3 linked regions of the Cricetulus griseus genome follow. The protein of the gene in region 3 interacts with the protein of the main gene of each other region in a biochemical or structural test. Links are inferred from orthologs where the notes say so. Each region holds a gene or a part of one and is shown on either strand. Other genes may lie near its edges.

The links.
Region 1: the proteins of Pou2f1 (region 3) and Rxra form a complex in vitro, tested with the Homo sapiens proteins (2 studies listed by BioGRID). The link is inferred for Cricetulus griseus from reciprocal best matches to the Homo sapiens genes POU2F1 and RXRA.
Region 2: the proteins of Pou2f1 (region 3) and Pou2af1 are reported together in a solved structure, tested with the Homo sapiens proteins (2 studies listed by BioGRID, with this or other methods). The link is inferred for Cricetulus griseus from reciprocal best matches to the Homo sapiens genes POU2F1 and POU2AF1.

What each region holds. Positions count from the first base shown.
Region 1 is NC_048599.1:139,356,515-139,360,540, forward strand, and holds the start of Rxra (retinoic acid receptor RXR-alpha), read left to right. Parts: upstream 1-1,217; 5' UTR 1,218-1,298; coding exon 1,299-1,326; intron 1,327-4,026. UniProt on the Homo sapiens protein: Receptor for retinoic acid that acts as a transcription factor.
Region 2 is NC_048597.1:162,976,979-162,981,052, reverse strand, and holds the start of Pou2af1 (POU domain class 2-associating factor 1), read right to left. Parts: upstream 2,810-4,074; coding exon 2,665-2,809; intron 1-2,664. UniProt on the Homo sapiens protein: Transcriptional coactivator that specifically associates with either POU2F1/OCT1 or POU2F2/OCT2. It boosts the POU2F1/OCT1 mediated promoter activity and to a lesser extent, that of POU2F2/OCT2. It recognizes the POU domains of POU2F1/OCT1 and POU2F2/OCT2.
Region 3 is NC_048598.1:26,467,862-26,471,906, forward strand, and holds the start of Pou2f1 (POU domain, class 2, transcription factor 1), read left to right. Parts: upstream 1-1,242; 5' UTR 1,243-1,247; coding exon 1,248-1,308; intron 1,309-4,045. UniProt on the Homo sapiens protein: Transcription factor that binds to the octamer motif (5'-ATTTGCAT-3') and activates the promoters of the genes for some small nuclear RNAs (snRNA) and of genes such as those for histone H2B and immunoglobulins.

The DNA.
Region 1 (4,026 bases), on a different chromosome or scaffold from region 3:
TGTCTGGAGAGGAGGTGCTTTCTTTGGGCAGCACCCACGATGTGCCTGTGGACTTTGGTAAGCCCCTCTGCCAGGGCCTCCACGCTGGATGTTGGTCTGGCAGGCACCAGCTGGGAGTGGAGGGAGGCGGGACTGCCGGTTGCCTGGCTTGGCTCAGGGACACAGTGCGCTTAGGGAGGCTGGCTTGGCTCTGCTCAGGTAGCTCACACCCAAATCCGAATTCCAGCCGCCCAAGACGGCGGGCGGGTTGCGGAGGAGGCCCAGGCTCTCTCTGGGTAGGAGTGCTTCCTTTCGTTTTAAAACAAACAAATCATGAATTTAAAAGTCAGGGCAGAGAGCTGCCCAAGGTATATAAATAGCCTGGGGCCACTGGGCGATGTCCGAAGCGGGCCGCAGCGCCTCTCGAACCCCGCACCTCAGAAGAGGGCTGGGGCCGTCGGGGTAACACCGGTACGCGGACGCCCCCCCCCCCCGCCCCGGGTCTGGCCTTCGGTCGGTCAGATACCATGGTTCTCTCTGGGCCTCCCGCGTGTAAGTGGGAGGGCACTGGGGCATCCCCCTGCCCAGCTGCTTGCCTCTGGCTCATCACCCCTCCCCGGCCTCAGTTTCCCCATGTGTCCCTTGGGGTGCACGGGGCCTCAGCTCTCCTTTAGGGAGCCCTGCCAGACCATGGTCCCCGAGCGACCACGGCTGGCCTCTTTGTGTGTCCGCGCAGACAATGGCCCGGCCGCTGAGCTCTCCTCTTGGCCCCGCTCTCCTCCTCCTCCACCACGGGCCGCGGGGATTTTGGGCAGCCGGGGAGGGAAGGCTGCTTCAGCCGGCCGCCCCGCCCTCCTCCCACGCCGCCGCCCCACGGCTCCCGGGAACCCCTGGCAGACGCAAACTTGCAAGTTTGCAGGACGCTCACAACTCGGGGCCGGGCGGCGAGCGCGGGGCGGCGGCGACAGCGGCGGGCGGGGCGCGCACCGGCTGCGGGCGGGGCGAGTGGCGGCGGCGGCGCTGCGCCGAGTCCGCGCCCGTCGCGGGCCCCCCGCCGCTCCCCCCCGCTGCAGGCCGGGCCGGAGCGGGTCGCGGCGCGCGGCGGAGGCGCGGGCGGCGGACACGCGCGCCGGGCGCGCGCAGGCACAAGTAGTTTACATTGTTGGGCGACTTTTGCAACAACTCGCCGCGCCGCGGCCTCCGCGCGCCGCCGCCGCCGCCGCTGCCCGCCGCCCCGCCGCCGGGCCGGGCCGGCCGGCCGGGGGCCGCTGCGCTGTCGCCCTGCTGCTCCGCCGCCAGCCGGGAAGTTAGTCGCAGACATGGACACCAAACATTTCCTGCCGCTCGGTGAGTGCCGGCCGCGGCGGCGCGGGCGAGGGAGGGGGCCGGGGCTGGCGGGGCGGGGGCGCGTGCGCAGCGCGCGTGGGGGGTCCGGCCAGGCCCGCTGGGCCCCGCGCTGTGGCGGTACCGAGAGTTGGCGCGCCGGGCCCGGGGAGGCGAGTGGGCACAGGGCAACTTTTCCCGGGCCCGGGCTCGCGGCGGGAGAGGGCGAGGGCACCGGGCCTCTGACTTGTCGGGGAGCGGGAGTGGGCGGCGGGGCTGGGGCGAGCGGCAGGTTCGCTCAAGACGTGGAGAGGGGTCCCTCACGGTGCGCGTAGCGCGTCCGCAGAACCCCGGGGCGCCCAGCCTCAGCCGCCCAGAATCCGGCCACGCCGGAGGAGCAACTTCTGCGCTTGCTGGAGGGCTCCGGGCCTCCTTGGCACTGGGATGGGGGCGACGCGCTGGGCTCCGGGAGGCCACTGCTCCTCCGGGCTCGTCGGGCTGCTGTTTGGAGCAGGCCGCTGGCCCCTGGGTGTCTGTTGGCCCAGACGGAGTCTGCGATCTTGCCGTTCCCCGACAGCAGCCCAAACCTAGGTGGGCATGGTCACCCAGGGGCCTCTGATGAGGAGCATCAAACCCAGAACTGGGGCCCCACGCTCTGGCACCCCTAGTTGTTCTCCCTGGTATTTAGGGGGGGAGAACAGCCCATAGGCAGAAGAGTCCGTTTTCTTGTCTTGCTGCCCTCCCGCCAGCAGCTCTCAGTGACCGTCAGCCTGCCAACTCCGGGAGTGGAACCCAGCAGGGTCGGAGCCCCCCAATCCATTGCTCTCGCAGGGATTTTGGGAGCCAGAGGGAAACAGTGTAGAGAGACTTTATAAATGAGCTCTGGGAAGGATATTAATTTGGTGGTGAGGACAGCAGCCAGGCTGTCAGGCTGATGAAGAATTTGTGCTGAATGGAAATCAGGACAGCTGATTATGGACGAAGCTCCATGATGATCAGTGCCTCTTTGCTTGGCCATCCCCTATGAAGCTTGGGGTGCAGTTTTGCTACCCCTAGGGGTGATCAGAACCCAGCATGGCTTCCAGGATTTTTGGTGATTTGGGGAGGTGGCACCCCCTTGGCCCCAGCCTTCTTACAGCTCCCAGACAGGTCTGCTGCAGAGTGACTTTGATAGAGTGTTCCAAGTTTGTCAAAGCTTCAGACACTTCGTCCTTATGAGCGGTGCTGAAGACCATGGGGGCTCAGCTGAGCTTGAGGGTCTGGCTCCCAGGGTGTAAACTCTGTCCATGTTGTAGTTGAGAAACTGGCTTGGAGAGGCCGCACTTAGAGACTGTAAATGGTGGATTTGGCGTTGGAGCCCCCTGCCAAAGTCCACTGACAAGAAAGCTGTATTACTGTGGCATGTTGCTGTGGGGCCTGATGTGGGGTTGGTGGGACCCCTGAGACACCTCTTTCTCCTCCACCCAAGCCTTTATGTGTTCAGAGCTGGGTCCTTAGGACAGGAATGCTTTGCTTAGTCTCTGGCCTGGATCATGGCTAGGGCCTGGCAATACTTTGCCTAGATCCAGGGATGGGAAACAACATGCCAGGAGGGACAGAGCCCATTCTAGAAGTTGACACATACAGTTGCAGGGTGACTGGGCTAGAGTCTTCAACAAGAGGAGTTGTGTCTTGGAGCTGTTGTCCCCCCACAAGGAGACCCAGAGTCTTGGGTTCACAGAGTGGTGGCTCTCAGGACCAGCTTGTGGCCTCCCAGGCAGCTTGTGCCCCAGGGCTGAGTGGTGAGTCCTGGGCTCTGAATACATTTTATTTTTTACTAAGCTTGTGACCAGCTCTGAAGTCCAGTGCAGTTGAAGGTCCATTTAAGCAGCTACTTGCCTAAGCCCTTTTGTCAACACAGCCTAATCCCTCCTGGGGGCTGAGTGTCAGAGGATCTGGCTCATCCAGGGTCCCCACTGACAACTTAGGTTTGACTTGAAGTGGCTGGGAAGATTTGGCCGTCCTTTTTTCACTACCCTGCCACTTTTGGGGTCTGAGACTGAGGGCTCTTCCCAGTGTGCACTGTGTGGGGTTTGGTGGTTCAGATAGCCTCTGAGCCTCTCTCCACTGAGTTGATCTGTATGGGACAGATCTGAGAAGAAAGGGAGGATGGGGAATTTGCCCCAGGCAGTCCCTGTTTCCTGGCTTTGCTGCCCAGGGCTGGAGTTGGGGAGTGGGGTAAGGGCTCAGCCTGGCCTCAGCTTGGATGGTGGGACTGTAAGGCTGAGCCTGCAGAGTCCAAAGGTCCCAAGCCTGCACTGACCCTCTCAGCTGTGTGGCTCATTTGTATGTGAGGGTAACAGGTTTCCAGAAGTGGGGCTCTAGGCCTCCAACCACCCTCTTGTGTGGTTCTTGGGGATCTAGTGAACTTGGGGCCTGTGTGAGGGGGCTTTTAGTAACATTGGAGCCCTTGTGACCCAAAATAGAGCACATTCCGGTCGTCCCGAAATAACAGGGTCACATGACTCTCAGGAGGCTGGGCTTGGAGTCCAGCTTGGGCCTGACGAGGCAGTTCACGGTTAGGCCCCCAGCTGCCTACTGATTTGGGCATTTGTTTTGGGAAACTCTGGAGGGGACTCTGTTGTTGACTGAGGAAGTGTTAGGGTGAGAAAAAGTGACCCCCTGTTGGTGGTCTGACTGTGGTAGTGGCCTTGTCTGCCTGTATTCTCTTTTGGGCTGGTACTG
Region 2 (4,074 bases), on a different chromosome or scaffold from region 3:
TTCAATCAATCTATGGCCTGCTAGGTAATGATTAGTTTTTCTTGTTCATGTGAGCTTAAAATGCTTCCAATGAGATTATAAGCTTCTTGATCTATTGTGCCTTGTCTCTGCCTTCTCAAGTGGCAGACATGCCTAAGTTATCTATATCTTAGTCTTGGCTGAACGTTAACTAATCATCTGGGAGGTGCTTTCAAATGTACTTCCTTTTATCATCCTTTCAACTCTCCTGGACCTTTAGGGTTAATGGACTGAAAAAAAAAAGTGTCTGCCAGGTGCATGGTGATCCTCAGTACAAGAGACAAATACCCAGTGATGATTCATGTGACCTGGAGTGGAGTGTCCACCTTGCTACTGGGAAAATGTTTCTGTTCCCTTTTGTCAAAAAATCCAAGAATCTAAAGTATCAACAAAACCAGAGCCAAGGTATAGCATTTTCTCTTGCTGGGAGATCAGAAACAAACTACCTATACAGATGGAAAGGCCCATGGAGGGCAGGCCAAGAGCTAGGTCACCCAAGATCAAGAAGCAATGGTCTCTGGGACTCACATAAGGAACCCATTATCCTCCACTGATAAGGGGCCAGGGACCCAGGCTTTGTATCAAAGGCCCGGAAGCCTGGGTATCTGTTCAACCCGGATCCACAGGGCAGCCTGAACTGAACTTTGTTCAGTAAACACCCAGCTGATAGTGATAACAATGTGTGCCTCATGCTGCCCAAGATCTCCCATGGGATTCTTAGGCTCCCAGCACCAACATGATCTGGTCTTGAAGGACAGGAGGCAAAGAAGCCATGCAGAGCCAGCAAGCAAAGGGGAATGACCTTTGGAGGCAGACCGTTAGTGTCAGGACCCCAGCTCTCAGACTAGGTATCAGACCTATATATGCTATGGTGTCCTAACTGACCACAGTGCAAAATCTACTGGAAACTGATGTAAAATACAGATACCTGGGATCTTGCTCCCCAGAAATATGGTTTGGACAATCCACTTAAGTCAAAGAGTCTGGATATATAAAAATTATGTAGATATATAAATTATATAAAAATGCCTGAGGTCATCTTCAAACCTGACTCTGATACTTCATCCCTTAGTTAACACAAGAGCTGCTCCATAACATCCCAGTAAGAGATGATCCTCGTGTTAGTGTCCTCTGTGATAAAAGGGAATCCCTACTCCCATCCTCATTCTTCCAAAAAGTTTCTGGACACACGTGGATGTGGGCCCTGCACATGTGGGTTGTAAAGTATAGCAGAGGAAAGAAGCAATACAATACCTACCAGTGAGATGAATGTAACAAATGAGAGGTTTGGGCTGACGTAAGAGCGTAAGAACCAGCATAGTATTTTGTGCCCTGAAACCACCTTCATCATTGTTCAAAACAGCAATGACAACAGACTTAACAGCCAAAACTACCTGCGTTCAAATATGGGCTGTCACTTACTAGTAGAAAATCCGCAGATTTATGTAATGACTCTAGGCCTCAATTTCCTTATCTGTAAAATGGAGACATGTTTTTAACTTCTCAGTGACATGTTTTTAACCTCAAATCTTCCTTCAGAGTGCAGCACTCCTGCACCAGCAATGCTTGTGCACCCTGTCCACAGAATACTGTTGAGTGCTACACACAGACACAAGTGTGTATGGACTGCCATGAGCGACAGTAAGGCATCTCTGCCGCTGCTTCATGCTGCTGCTGCTCCCTTCTCAGGATCATTCATGACCACAACAGTTTTCTTCACAGACATGTCACTCAATCTCTGCCTACCTCTTCTTAGGTTTCCTTCCATTCCTCAGGCACAGAGCCTAACTTGAGATACTGTACTCTCAGAAAAAAATAATGAGGTTTTGGACCAAAGGAAGGAGATGGTCTAAGTACTATGGTCACACCCTGAATTCAGTTGGGGAACACTATGCATACGTCTCAGTCCAGATCACAGACAGGAATGTTACCCATGGACCTCTGATTTGCATGTACAATTCTGGGGAAGGGCCTAGAGGCCTCCAGGTCCCATTCCCTCTCTGGTGCTATTTCCTCTCTTGAACTGGTCTAGTACAGCTGGGACACTCCCACAGCTCTGTGTCCTTAGACAGCTGACAAGGAATCCTGTAACTGGCTCCCTGAGCAGGCAGAAGTGGGGTTGCTTCTGAGGTGTCTCTGCAAAGCGCCTTGAAATATGAGAAGCCAAAGCATCAAGATGTCTGCCCAGGAGGCTCAATAGACAAGAATATTTGCAAACTGACAACTTGCAGTTGGGGTCTTTCACACTAATCTACATTAAGTAACAATCAGCATAATTCCCCAGTAAACACTGTGACCTCAGCTGCTGCCAGCACCAGAATGGAGCCCACTATGGAAATTTGGAAGAAGAAAAGAAGTTTGTCCAAAGTCACCATTGCTTTAACTTGGGGCTGCTGAGTCCTTGAACTGACATAACTTTGCAATAACTGCACTGAAATAGTTCAGGACTTTTTAAACAAAATATTAACATAATGTAAAATAGCAGTTTTTAAAATAGTATGTGAAGAGAATAAAGTAGAAATGGAAATAATACTGTATCATCAGAGAAGAAGAGCATCCAGACTAGTGATAAATAGAGAGTTTAATAATTCTCGAATCAAACTGCAGCTCTGGGCAGCCTTCTAGTAAAGCTAGATGGTTCCTCACCCTTCCTCCTGCGATGTGAAGAGCCCTTGAGCGTCTGTAGGCCTGAAGAGTCCATCACAATGGAAAACCAGTCCATCTGAACATAACCTCTGGCAATCTCTTTGGACAGGAGTTCACCATACTGCCTTTCTTTACTATTGCCCATAAACTGCCAATGTATTCCAGGAAGAAAAAAAAAGTTTTAAAAGGCTAGTTGATAGCAAAACACACCCATTTGGTCACAGACATAAGAGAGAGCTTCCTTTTTCCAAAAAGAGCAGTAAAAGATCTAGAGGCATAAACAGTCGGCAGAGGGCATTTCACTTCCCCTGTCACACACCCAGACCTGCTGCAGGAATCCTGGGGCTGCCATTCCACCACAGCACAACAGTTTGAAACCAACAGGTTATATAGCTACCTGTATGCACAGTGGCATCAGTACTCAGGCTCCACCAGGCTGAGAGAACACAGGTTCCTTCTGAGTTAAATAAGCACTCGGGTTTTCTCAATGAAGGCATAATAAAATCTCACTAAGGAAATATGCAAACCCATCAGCACCTATTTATTTAATAACCCCATGCAAACCACAATACACATCCCACTCAACTAAAGAGCCAGGAGCCAGGTCCTAGTCATCAGTAACTTGTCTTTCAGAATAGCTTTAAAAGAGCCCATGTCCATCAGGTGTTTTCTGAGAGAAGAGCCTTGCCTCACACATTGAGATTTCCCATGGGTCCCCAGACAAGCAACAGACTGGATAACAGTTAAGAGCTCTACCCTAAAAACGGTGTAATATGCAGGTTAAACTGGGATTTACATCGTAGGGAGCCACAGAACAGGCATCCTCACAGCTCTAGGAGCCTTTCTGTCCCAGATTGACAGACTGCTCAAGGTTGAATTCATAACTAGTTGAACCTCAGGGGTCACTTTGAAAGATGAAAGCCACCTAGATGAGAAGGTCACATGACCCATACTATCACTTAAGACAGTTCTGGTATCAATCCCCACCCCATAACCACTTTGAATGTTTTCTTTCACTGCTGGTGTTCAATTTTATCCAAAAGAAAATAGAGCTCATTAAGGAGAAAGACAACTAACACTCTCTTTACTTGTAGCAAAACCAAAACAAATAATTGAACAATAGGACTTCAAGCCTAGGGCTAACGAACTTGTCCCAGCTTCTACTGAAAACAAAATCTGAAAACTTGCTGACACTTTAATGTGAAGAGTCTTGTTTGTCTTGGTGGCCTGAGATAGCTGAGGTCTTCTGGGAAACTTGAGCTCAGGTAGGCCACAGGCTTATTCACATTCTTTACGGAAATGCTGCTGCAGGTGCTCTTCTTAGAGTCAAGTTCTCAAGGTTTTCAAATTTACCATTTTCATTTATGGAGACTAGCTGATACTTTTTTCCAAACAGGAAGAAAGTTGTTC
Region 3 (4,045 bases):
GGAAACTCTTCAGCAGGAAAGAGAACTCTCTCGGCCATATGTTGGCCAAATCCGAAGGAATACAAGAGGAAACTGCTCCCCTATTTCATTTACTGAGCTACACAGCCAAGCGAATACACGGCGGCGCTCCCGCCGGCGTCCACATTTTTAATCAGGTCAGTTTACAAGGAGCCTTTAAAAGGTGCTCCAAAAGCGAGGTCCTGGGCGCAGATGGAACCCGTTTGTTTCGCCCGGGTGGGCGCGCGCCAGGGGGTCCGGGCCGAAGGGCAGGGGAAGGCGGCTGGGGAGGGGGCGGCGATCCGGACGGCGGCTCCCGCAGGCTTCGCCCGGCGCCCGCAACAAGTGGAGCAGAAGCTTCACCGGCTAATTAGCGCCGCCAGGACCCGCCCCGCGCGCCGGCCGGGGTCGAATCTGCAGCACCGGCGGAGCCGCGGGGCGGGGATTAGTTCGGATTCAAATTGAAAGCGGGACGGCCGCGCGTGGCCCAGCAGGTGCCTCGTGCCCGCGGCCCGCCGAGGGCGTTTCCGCCCCCACCTGCCCGCAGGGCCGGAAATTACCTCGGAGGGGAGCGGCCCCTCCATTGTCCGAGCCAACTGCGAGGGAAGATTTAAGAAAGTGCCGAGCGAGCGAGCGAGAGAGTGAGCGAGCGCCGGGGGCGCGGGGCTGTGGAGCGCTCCCTCGGTCCTCGTCGTCCTCGCTGTTAGCCGCCGTGCACGCTGCCCTTCTACGCTCCCGCCATGGGGACCCCGAACTGATCCGGGAAGGGGATAACGCGGAGGATGGGAGCATTTATCGGAAGACACACGACACGAGCACTTGACAGACTACACTCGGAGGTGAAGCTGCACTCGGGGACGAGGGTGGAGGGGAGCGCATGCGCCTTGCTCCTCCCAGGCGCGGGGGAGGAGGGGGACGGACGGACGGGGGAGGGAAACTGCGCGTGCGCGTAGCCTACGGAGGCAAGGCATGACTGGCAGGTCGCGGGCACCGGAGCTGCCGGAGGGGGCCTGGCAGCCTGAGCGCGCGTGCGCACAGGGGCGCGCGGGGGGGGGTGGAGCTCTTCCGAGGGGGCCGGCGGAGGGCAGCGCCGGCCTCGTGCGCCCCCTGGCGCGCGCCTCGGGAGAGGAAGGAACGGGAGGGTGCGGAGAGGAGGAGGGAGGAGGAGGAGGCGGTCGGGGCGGGAGGGGGAGGGGAGCGGGAGCGAGGGAGGGTTTATCGACCGGGCGATTTTGGTTAAAATATTCAAAATGGCGGACGGAGGAGCAGCGAGTCAAGATGAGAGTTCAGCCGCGGCGGCAGCAGCAGCAGGTAATCATTACAGCATTTTACATATTCATATTCATACTCAACCCCGGCTCCCGCTGCCCCCCCCGCGACTTAGCATAATTTATTAGTACTCAGGATTATTATAATTAACGGCGAGGAGATGGGGGGCCGGGGAACACGGACCCCTCCGGGCGCCCAGCGGAGGGGGAAAGGAGCTCGGGGCGGCCGGGCGGAGGGGGAAGAAGACCCGGGGCAAAGGGGGCTGTGAAAGCGCCACGCTCCTCCTGCCCCCGGCCCACCCCGCCGCCGCACCGGCCCGCCCGCCCGCCCGCCGGCACCGGCCCTCCTCCTCCTCCTCCTCCGCCGCCGCCGCCGGAGCGGCCGCCCCTCTCGCCCGGTGCCCGAATCGGAGCGGGTCCGCGGCGGGCGGCGGGGCCGGGACACCGGGAGAGGACAATAAAGACATTTTACATATTCATAGCTGCTGGGCTGGCGGGGCGCGGCGGGGCGCGGGCGGGAGACCCGGACGGGCGATCGGGCGGGCGGGCGGGCAGGGGGGGCGTGGAGGGGCCAGAGGTGGCGGCGAGCACAATGCCGGTGGGCGGCGAGGCCGGAGCGGACCCCGGCGGCCGGACACCCGCGGCGGCGCCCCAGGATTGGGAGCCGGCGCGGGCTCGGTCCGGGGGACGCTGCTCCGCCGCGGGGAGCATCGGGGGTGGCGCTCTGCCGCGGCCGCGCGGGGGTCCTCGTGGGGCCGAGCCCGGGGGTCACGGCCCGGGCCCCTCGGCCGCGCCCTGCCGGTGCCCCGGGCGGCGGCCTGACCCCAGCGGCTCCGCGTCCGTGATCAGGGGCTGCGTGGCATGGGCCCCGGGACGTGGCCTTCGGGCTCGGAGTCCGCTCCGGGGTCCTTCGGTCCCTTCGGAGGCTGGGCTGGGTGGGAGGAGCCCTCGGGGAAGTTCCCCCCCCCCCGTGGAAATGGCTTCGGTCGTCCGTGTGTCCCGGGCCCGCACCCAGAGGGCCCCGCGTGTCTGGAGAAACCCCGCTGTTGTGGGGTTGCGGGACAGTCTGGCTTTGGTCGCTCCTCCGCGCACGCCCCCACCCTCCCCACGCGAGGGTGGCATTGGGGACCCTCTCGCTCCGAGGCCCGGGAGCTCCTGGAGACCACCCGAGAACTCGACCGTAAAGGGTTGCCCTCCTGCCCTCAAAGGGCTGGCCGGACAAGTTGATCATATTCTAGATTTCTTCTGTCCTGCGGGGAGCGGGGGTGGTGGCCAGACACGGAGATTCCCCTCCCCTCCTGAGTGTGGTGGTGCCTTCTCGCTGCGTGCTGGGTCCTCTACTTGCTTCTCATTTGAATAATGTCTAATTCAGGGAGGTTTATATTCTTGAAATGGCCGCCTGGCTTTCCCCGCCTCTCATGTTTAGTAATTCAGACCTTTAATAACAGCCACTCACAGCCCAACGCCGTGTTTATATTTTACATTCGCCCCATGTGCTTTTGTGGTTCGATATGATTCTCTCTCTTTTTTTTTTTCTCCTCCTCCTTGGCAATCCACAAGGCTCTGAGATCAAACCCAGTCTGTGCTAGGAAGACAAGGAGAGAACTAGGCCTGGACTGCCCCAGTAGCTGCCTAGGCCTTGTTCTCTGCTGCTTGATTTATTTACTAATAACCAAAATGACTCCCCCACCAACTGCCACTTGAGTCCCCTCCTCCGCGGGCAGAACACATCCTCTTGGGACCTTCCAGCATTAAAAACAGCTCGAGCTGAGCATCAGCTCTGTAGTGGCTTGTTTTCGCCTAAAAGGAGTTTCTCTTGCAGTTTGCAGTAACGAGGACCTTATTTCCAATTTTCAGAGGCTTATGAGGGCTACTGGCTTAGTACAAATAGAGAACTTTGTTGTGGGCATAGTCTCCTTCTCCCCAAGTTAAACTCATTCGGGCTTTGTAAAGATTTGTAGTATTTGTAAAACCCGTAGATTTTTCCTTCCAGGAGCTGAGGAGCAGCTAGGTAGTTTAGAAAGTCCAGTTGACAACACTTGGGTTGTTTCTGCTTTTCCAGTTACTGCACTGACGCTCATGCTGTGCTACCACTGACACAAACCTGCTTATTTTAATCGGAGCAGCACCGAAAACAGAAATGGGGTTATGTTTTCTGTGAGTGTTGGTGTCATGGTTAAATGAGTGAAAATAGAAGATAAACACAGGCATTGTGTCTACCCTGATCTTGGAACTTACTCAGCATGCCCACCCCTTGCTTTAAGGTGTCAGAATTGATTTTGTTTTATCTAGACTTAAGACAATTGGCCTGTGAAAACCAATTAAGTTTTATTGTTGAGAGAAAACAATCATTTTGATTTCTGGTCTGTCCTGTAAGTGTTTTGTTTTTAAAAGGTGTTGCTTTCTAGGGCAAGTATACGAGGAGTCCTGTTGGTGTTAAGCCACTTCAGTTTAACTTGTAACAGCATTTCAGAGTTAGGGGACTCAGTGCAAATTCATTTAAAATAACTAGGTCTCACCATTTTCCCCTTTCACATCCAGTAGGTAAGCCCTGAATGAAGTGGGGGGGGGAGCTTTTCTGAGAATGCCCAGGTGAATAACCACTTCAGAGAGCTGAAGCATGAAGGTAGATGGACAAAAAGCAGTAATGATTTCATGCCTTAAATAGCATATGTTTTTGCACCCAGTTCCCAAGATGTGGTCAGACTGATGATGTCATTGGAGAGAGGACAAGGTGCAGTTAATGTGATTTATTGTCCTGAGGTGAAGTATAGCAATGG